2 linked regions of the Nothobranchius furzeri genome follow. The protein of the gene in region 1 interacts with the protein of each later gene in a pairwise test. Links are inferred from orthologs where the notes say so. Each region holds a gene or a part of one and is shown on either strand. Other genes may lie near its edges. The genes, in order: dachd and E3 ubiquitin-protein ligase RNF14.

The links.
Region 2: the proteins of dachd (region 1) and E3 ubiquitin-protein ligase RNF14 interact in binary tests that used the Homo sapiens proteins (3 or more experiments, as listed by UniProt). The two-hybrid records come from large-scale screens. The link is inferred for Nothobranchius furzeri from reciprocal best matches to the Homo sapiens genes DACH1 and RNF14.

Annotation. Positions count from the first base shown.
Region 1 is NC_091754.1:28,486,639-28,490,457, reverse strand, and holds part of dachd (dachshund d), read right to left. Parts: intron 401-3,819; coding exon 253-400; intron 1-252. UniProt on the Homo sapiens protein: Transcription factor that is involved in regulation of organogenesis. Seems to be a regulator of SIX1, SIX6 and probably SIX5.
Region 2 is NC_091750.1:54,469,008-54,473,577, reverse strand, and holds the start of E3 ubiquitin-protein ligase RNF14, read right to left. Parts: upstream 2,898-4,570; 5' UTR 2,765-2,897; intron 2,206-2,764; 5' UTR 2,198-2,205; coding exon 2,047-2,197; intron 1,948-2,046; coding exon 1,817-1,947; intron 1,715-1,816; coding exon 1,528-1,714; intron 1,254-1,527; coding exon 895-1,253; intron 788-894; coding exon 559-787; intron 472-558; coding exon 299-471; intron 1-298. UniProt on the Homo sapiens protein: E3 ubiquitin-protein ligase that plays a key role in the RNF14-RNF25 translation quality control pathway, a pathway that takes place when a ribosome has stalled during translation, and which promotes ubiquitination and degradation of translation factors on stalled ribosomes.

The sequences.
Region 1 (3,819 bases):
TATGTGGAACTGAGGAGACGCGGCGTGGCGAAACATCACACATACACGCAGAACTGTGTCAGTACATTCTGGAGCGTTTTGTATCTAAATGAGCACAACCCTGTGAAGTCTGTACACACACTGTCACGCATGCTTGCCAACACACACACACACACACACACACACACACACACACACACACACACACACACACACACACACACACACACACACACACACACACACACACACACACACAATGGCAGGTAGTACCTCTGTTTTTCTGCTCCATGGCGAGCTGCTTCTCCAGAGTCTCCCTGAGCTCCCGCTCTCTGAACAGCTCCATCTTCAGCTCCGTCTTCTCCAGCTGTACCTGCTTCTCCTGAGCTCGCGCATTGTCGATTGCCACTTTCAGAAGGCCCTGCACCCACACACACACACACACACACACACACACACACACACACACACACACACACACACACACACACACACACACACACACACACACACACACACACACACACACACACACACACACACACACACAGGTGAAGAAGACTATTTAAGACCTCTACATAAAGTGACAGGCAATCTTTTCCTTTTTAGTCATTAAAATGTATGTTTAAAAACTAAAAGCCAGATATGTCTGATCATCTGTGGACATGAGATTAAACTGGGCTTATTTTTTATATTTTATGATTTGCATGTAGAAATTAGTTTGACTGATTTGTCATTTATTTATATATTAACATTATAAATAATTATATTTAAATGTGATTAATGATGGAAGAAGGAAAATTAACACAGAAAAAAAAACCTGATAAAAAACACGAGCAGGTACTGTGGCCTCAGATTTTGGTCTAATGTTTTCAATAACTGGAAAATCTAGCAGACATCCTCACCAACATTAGCGTGTTTAGCAGCTCGTGGCTTCAACCCATGCTTTAGAGTCCTTTAATTGTAGAAACACTCCTCTTTATCCACTGTGAAAGCTTTAAATGACTTGTGTGAACATTGACTGGAGCAGAACTCAACTGATGTATAGCGCCCACTTGTGGTGTGGAGGAAAACTATGCTCTGACGTCATGGACTACCTCTTAGTGCAATTACTTCAAAACAGCTTTTTGGAACACAAATCTGATGTGGAATTTGAATTATTTGTTTATCTTCACTAAAGACGGCTGACATTGAAGTGAGAATGTGTAGTTTTTAACGTTGGAATTATCCATCGAAATTATGTAGAAAAATAAAAATAATTATGTCCAGTAGTTGCAAAATATTAGCGGCCTTGTAACAAATAACCATAAGAATCAGGTGCAAAGTTAATAGGGCTCAGGTCTAGCATCACGTTTCCTTCTGGCTGGTTCCTGCGTCTGTTGATGATGTCACACAAGATGACTGGATGGACGTACGACTTACAGAAGTTACATTACCACATTTGAAAACGTTCAGAAAGTAAAAAACAAAACTGCTAAACTCTTTCCAAAACCTATGTGAAAGAGCAGAATAAAAAAGAAAGAGATGCAATATGTTTTTGCCGAGCGGTATTGCCGTAGTTTGAGGTGCAGGAGCCCGAGCTGATCCGTAAACTACAGCACCAGAAAATTACAATTGGCACAGAATTTTCTTGATTGAATTAACTGGATGACCATCAAAGTCTGAGGAGTCACGCCGAGGCATGCTTCCTGTTCCACAGGTAACATCACGGCGATGTGCTTTAAAACTACCATGAGATGTACGCACTGCCCCCTAGTGCCAGGAAACTACACACTGTCACTTTAATGTGGTGATAAGTCTGCACCTTTTGACCTTCCAGTAGCTGCACCTTCAAGGTCACATTTAACCTATTATCTAAATATGTGTTCTCGTTTTCATTAATGTGTATTTAAGGTGTAGTTGCTGTTTTTATACCTAATTTACTGTTTTTGTCCTTCACTCTGACTTTCTTTGTGTGTTTATGTAAGCACACACAAGAACTGGACAGAAAATGACTAAAATGGCTGATCAAGACCACTTTAAAAGATTAAACGAAAATCTTGTTCCTTGAAAGGAAAATAAGAGAGAAGGATTAGTGCAGATTAGCTTTAGTTAATGTTCGTACATATGTCTTAAACCTCTGCTTTAGAACATCTGTGAGGGGATTTTCTTCAGCCTAAAGGTAAGAATCACCTCAGACAGCTCTGCATTCTTACATGAAGACCTTCATCACAATTATTCCCCATCCACATGCAATTAGATCAAATGCACTGGACGATAGCTTACTAATTGTTGCTTCTTCTAACCCCAATTTATTCTAAGTTGCTTTATCTTCATTTTCTGCTTGGTTTCATTTAGTTGATTTGTATATAAATATTCAAGGCGAAGATCATTATCAAAGATGACTAAGAGGAGTGTTGGGAGCTCGCGACGGGTTTTGTTGTGGCGCTCTAATTACCGCAGAGCCAAAGGAGAAGCAGGACTCTGATGACGGTGGAACGAGTGCAATGAGAAGGGCAGCGGGTCCACACATCATTACACCCAGAGAGACGGAGAAAGGCATTCATCTTTCTGATTGAGGGGGTCTGAGCTGATGTCTAAACAGCTCTCTGAGTCGATGGGTGGTGTTAATGTGTGTGAGTGTTTCAGTTTAACGAAAGTGTGAGAGCTTGGTAATGAAATCTGTTTTGTACTGATTCACTTTTTTCTCTACAATTTGATCTCAAAGCACAAACTTAAAAATGTGTGTTTATAAAAAACAAAAATGCACCAAGTGACGTTTTCTGAGCCGAATCAGATTTTTTTTCCCCAAATGTTGGCTCAAAAAATTTTAATGATTGAAATTACATGCTATTTAATAAGCCATAAGACAAAAGATTCCATAGCAAATATGAAATCAGCCTTATGGATCTGCGAGGTTATTTTAAACCAGAAGATAGGAACGTTTTATTGCAGGGATTAGATAACAGCTTCGTATTCACTCAGAGACAACAGAAGAGAGAGAGAGTCGAGTTTAAAGTGGGCCTGACCACTTCGGCAAAAGTTTCTTAGCCAGCTTCCCAGAGGTGTTCTTGGTGTTCCCAGTTTTAGGAGCGAAAATGTAGAACCAGGCCTCATCACCCATGTTGAGTTCAGAATGTGAGGCCTTCTGATCATAATAAGCCTTCCTGCCCTCAGCTGATTTCTCCAGATTTGTCTGTGCAAACGAGAACGCTGCAGGCAGATGGTTCTTCAGGTCCTGCAAATATTGTTCGCTCGTGTAAGCCACAGCGCCACCAGACTGAACTGGCTGGAACTGCAGGTGATGGTTAAACATCAAGAGATCTGGTCGTGTTAGAGGAGAGGGGGAAACATAAAATAAAGAAGGCAGCTCTATTGAATAAAGCCTTTTCATTAGCTTCCTCTATCAACTTTACTTCCTATGACATAATTTCTACAACATTAAAGATAATTTAACATCTATTCAGTCCAATAAAACATGAACAATTAGCAATTAGCTATTGCTAATATGACTTAGCTGTTTCTATGCTGTGTTTTTGGATTGGAATAAACTTGTACAGTTAAGAATGATTTTATTCTGGTTTCTGCCTAGGACATTCGATCCCAGCTCCCGCCAGAGAATGCTGCTGTCGTGTCCCTGGACAAGACCCTTAACCCATCTTGCCTGCAGGTGGTGGTCAGAGGGAGCAGTGGCGCCTGTGTTCAGCAGTCTCAATTTAATCAGTGCGCCCCAGGGCAGCTGTGGCTACATTGTAGCTCATCACCACCAGCGACTTAATATGTTGTGAAGTGCCTTGGGGGGGGTGGGGGGTGGGGGGGGGGGTGGGGGGGGGACCCTAAGAATACAGATCATTTATCATT
Region 2 (4,570 bases), on another chromosome or scaffold:
ATGATGGGCAGATTAAACAGTTCATTTCGATGCTTCTCCCACACAACGGGTGTTTGGATCTAATTTCCGCGTTTATTGCTCGGACTGTATCGCAAGATCTCGAAAATCCCATGCATGCCTGTCTGCGCACCTCAGGTCTCCGCACCGGAGTAGAGCGGGTACCAGTAAAAATTGAGTTCGGAAGCGAGCGGCTGCGGAAGGCGGGGGCGGAGCGGAGCGGAGGTAGAGGGATTTTGGGGTGAGCCCTGGTGTTTCTAAATATGAGCTTTAGTTTCTCCATTAGGGGGCGCTGGTCTACCTGAATGTTTGTTCCACAGTTAGGACAGCATTTACAGTTCTCCTTCAGCCAATCCCGGCTAAAAGATTCCTCCACCGCTTTCTGCACCACCTGTTTCCCAAAACGCTGCTCCATGAACTTCTTCCCCTCAGGCGTGGCTGACAGGTACTCATCTCTCAGGCTGCGCAGGTCATCTGGAGAACAAGGCAGAAAGAAAACGTAGCAAGTGAAACCGTTTCCTTACTCCTTATGAGCTTCTGAGAGTTTGTCTGAGCCGTTACCTGCAGTGATTTTGCAGTGAGAGACACCGTGATAGCCCAGCTTACACAACGTGCAAAAAGCATACTGGCAAGCTGAGCAAATGCCCATTGTTGTGTCTGGTTCCACCATTACAGCAGTTCCACACGAACGGCGGGGACAGTAGACCACATCAGCCATGAGGTCCAAAGTGGACTGGAGCAGCAGACGGTCGTAGCGGGCAAACAGCTCCTCGTCTACCAGCTGTTTCACCTGAGAGATGAGATCAGGGCAGATAAAGTAGAAAACAACACAATTATCAATACGGTTGGGCTGAAGCTGAACTTGTTAAAAGCCACATTCCTGTAGAAGTGCCTGACCTGTGATGGCGTAGCGACTGACGTGCATTTGGGCTCGGGGCAGTTAAGGCACTGAACATTGCCTTCTCGTATTTGAATCTCAAAGTATTCTCTCATGCAGTCCTTGCAGTAAACGTGCAGGCACTCCTTAAAGCAGAGGCAGGTGGAGCCCAGCTTATCCGCGAAGCAGATCCCGCAGCTGAACACCTTTCCGTCAAACACCCGTTGTCTCTGAGTTTCGTCAAAGTCCAGGAGCTGACGTAGGGGGTCGGAATGAGGGTCCATCAACACGACAGCTCGCTGGTCTGGATGAGACAACAGTGAACCGTGCTGCTCAGATGTCTCCTTTATTACTTCTGTTTTCTTCTCCTCTGGTTTCTCTGAAGGAGAAAAGACCAAAAAGAGAAGTTCCAATGTGCATTCAAGGATTTGAAAAGTTAACAGTGGTGTGAAGAGACACCTGGGTAAGAAAAGAGATGTTCTGATGGAAAGTATTATGATGCAACCTAATTTTGTCAGGAATGAAAGCCAAAAGAGGGCATGAGAAGTACTTACAATAATAAAATACAGAATTTATTTGAAAAACAATAACAGCAATTGCAGTGTTAAACCACATTTTCTACTAGCAAGCTTTGGTAAAATGCCTCATCATACCTTTGCTTGCAAGGTCAGTTTTTCTTCGTTCGCCAGCAGCCTTGCTGTTCCTGATGACTTCCACGGGAGACTGGATGCCCAGAAATTCTAGGGGCTCCTCTTTGAGAAACTGGATCCATGTGAAAAGAATCTCTGATCCCTGGTTTTCCTCCCACAACTCATCCAGATGTCGGCATAGGGAGCTCAGCTGGAAGAATCAAAGAGCAGAGGAAGAATTGAAGAGGATGCCAGAGGAAGATGCTAGATGTGGCATTTACAAAAGGCCTGGATGAGTTAGTACGACTCTTACCTGGGATTTGGTCATCCATTTAGAGCTGAGAGTGAAGGATGGTGGACGTGTGGAAGGGTAATCTGAAGGAAGCTCAAAATTGAGCACCAAAGGAGGTAAGAAACACACATTGTGTTCAGTTGTCTTCTCGCCTGCAACAAAGAAAAAGGGAGGCTAAAGCAGAGTAGTGAATCTAAATGCACAGCCTGTAGGGAAGCTGTGCACCAGTTGCACATCTTGATCACCGATACCTTTTACAAGAACTTTAAAACCAGGAGGAAGCTCCAGACAGAGTTGGATCTCTCCTCCTTGTGCAGACTCCGCACGGCGGAACTCCTCCTCATCATAGATACTTGCTAATGCAAGCAGCTCATCCTCCTGAGCTTCCTTATCCTCAGACATTTACATTCCTGGAACAACAACAACATCTAAAATTTACAACAGAAACAAATACGAGTACTACTACTGCTAACACTATACCACTTAGTGAAGAAAAACACAAACTAACGCGTTTGTGTGTCGACTGAATTAAACATTTCAAAACTTTCCTAAAGACATCAAAATTAAATAACCAGATGGAGCTAATTTATAATTAAATGCGCAAATATTTATACTTTGTAGGAACTTAGCTAATGCTAAGCTAAGTTGTAGCTTATAAGTTAGCACCCAACACAATATAAACCACCACTTTTACCATGCCAGACGCCATGGTTGCTAGATTATAAACCAGCATCGATTAAATACATAACATGTCTAAAGATGGAAGCAGCTAACAAACTCGGTTGATTGCCTAACGAGGGTAAAGAACACCGGTATTTGTAGCTAGCTAACAGCTAGCTGATGTAAACAGTAGCTCTGTGGTAGCAACACATTTTTAACTTTTCTTTCTGTTGTGTGATTAAGATACAATAACACAAACAACATCAAGACATGTACAACAAATGTTGAAAATTTATTTCATTTTATTACCTTTTCTGTCCCAAGTGCACAAGTGACTTTTGCCCTGATTGGTTCCTGTCATGACGAGTCACGACGTCAACTCCTTACACACAGCCCGGCACTCAATCCGGCTACATCCGAGACACATCCAAACACCGCCTTCTCTGCCGGTGAATATTGGTATGCGAATCCACTGACAGCGCCCCCCAGTGGAGATATTGTGCCACTGCGAATTATTGCAGTGAAAGCGGGAAAACTAAACTTCTCTCTACATCTCTCTGACGGGAACGTTCGTGTGGTAGCAAAAATCACAAAAAAAGAAAGAAAGCCCATATGTGGGAGTAGCCAGTTAGATAAAGTTACTGTTCTGATTATCATTATCTATTAAAGAGACAATATGTAGTTTTTAAAATTAATCTCATTCATTGAAATGTTGTTGAAAATGAATTAAATGATGCCCATTTGTTGAAAAATATTGGTGGCTTCATAAGTGGTAGAGTGGCCGCCCTGGGACTGAGATTGGGGTTCAAATCCCGGTCAGGACACATCTAAACTCCTCTGATTTGTGTGTGTGTGTGTGTGTGTGTGTGTGTGTGTGTGTGTGTGTGTGTGTGTGTGTGTGTGTGTGTGTGTGTGTGTGTGTGTGTGTGTGTGTGTGTGTGTGTTGCTATGATTCAGCTTGCTCAGTAAGTGGAGGCAGAGCTCAGTCTTTGATCTGCTGCATTCATAAACTCAGCCTCACACACTGACAGCAATAACCCAACATCAGTGTGATCTTGTCTAAAATGGAGCAGAATTGTTATCATATTTATTATCTTCCCCCTACTCTCAGTTCCTAAATCCAACTGAGGAGTTTTTCTCTTCCTGGAGGTGGAAGGTGTATGATCAGCGTCCACATACCCAGGTGACACCAGCCATGGATGCAGCTTGTGATGACATCACAGCAGAGTCATGCAGAGCGTGGATTCAGGAAGATACTTCCCTCTGTGCGTTGACAGAGCTGATATTTGCTGTGATGTAGATGAAAATATGTGGCCAGACTAACGGGAGCGTCTAGTTGTCCATGTCTGATTTGCAGCACCATCTGTTTTACAGGATTTTTAGATTCAAAACTACTGCAGTAAGGTTTACTGAGCCAAAGGGAGTTTATATTTGTTGTAAATGTTGTTTTTCCAAATGCTGTGAACAGTAGCAAATGTACAGTATAAAGTGCATATTCATTGTGCTGATTTTGATTTAATTCTAGTTTTCTAAATGCCATGCATCCTATACAACGCTGATTTGACTCTACATGACTTTGGGGAGCACTTCCAGAGTCATGTCACAATGAAAACGTGTTCAAACCGTTTGACTTGATAGTTCAAAGATGCTGCTGTCATAACTTTTCATTGTGACGACACCGACACTGTCATTGACATAAATACTTGCTTTGAAGAACAAATGATCCATTTTGATGAAGGAACTCGCTTTTGAAGAATGAGCCCATTTTGAGCGACTGACTTGCTTTTGCAGGTTATCTACCGTGTTTTGTACTTTACGCTAATTGTTTGGAGAAATGTCTTAGCAGTGGTGCAAACTTTACTGCTATTCATCACAAGGCTGATAACTAAAGCAGCATCAACTCTGCTGAGTAATCATTGCAAACACTGAGTAAGTACTGGAGATTCACACACTGTTGTTAGTTTTTCCAACAAGTGTAGTTTTTTTATGTTTGATTAATTATAACAATTCAGCTCCATTTTAGACAAGATCACACTGATGTTAGGTTATTGCTGTCCGTGTGTGAGGCTGAGTTTATGAGTGCAGCGGATCAAAGACTGGAGCTCTGCCTCCACA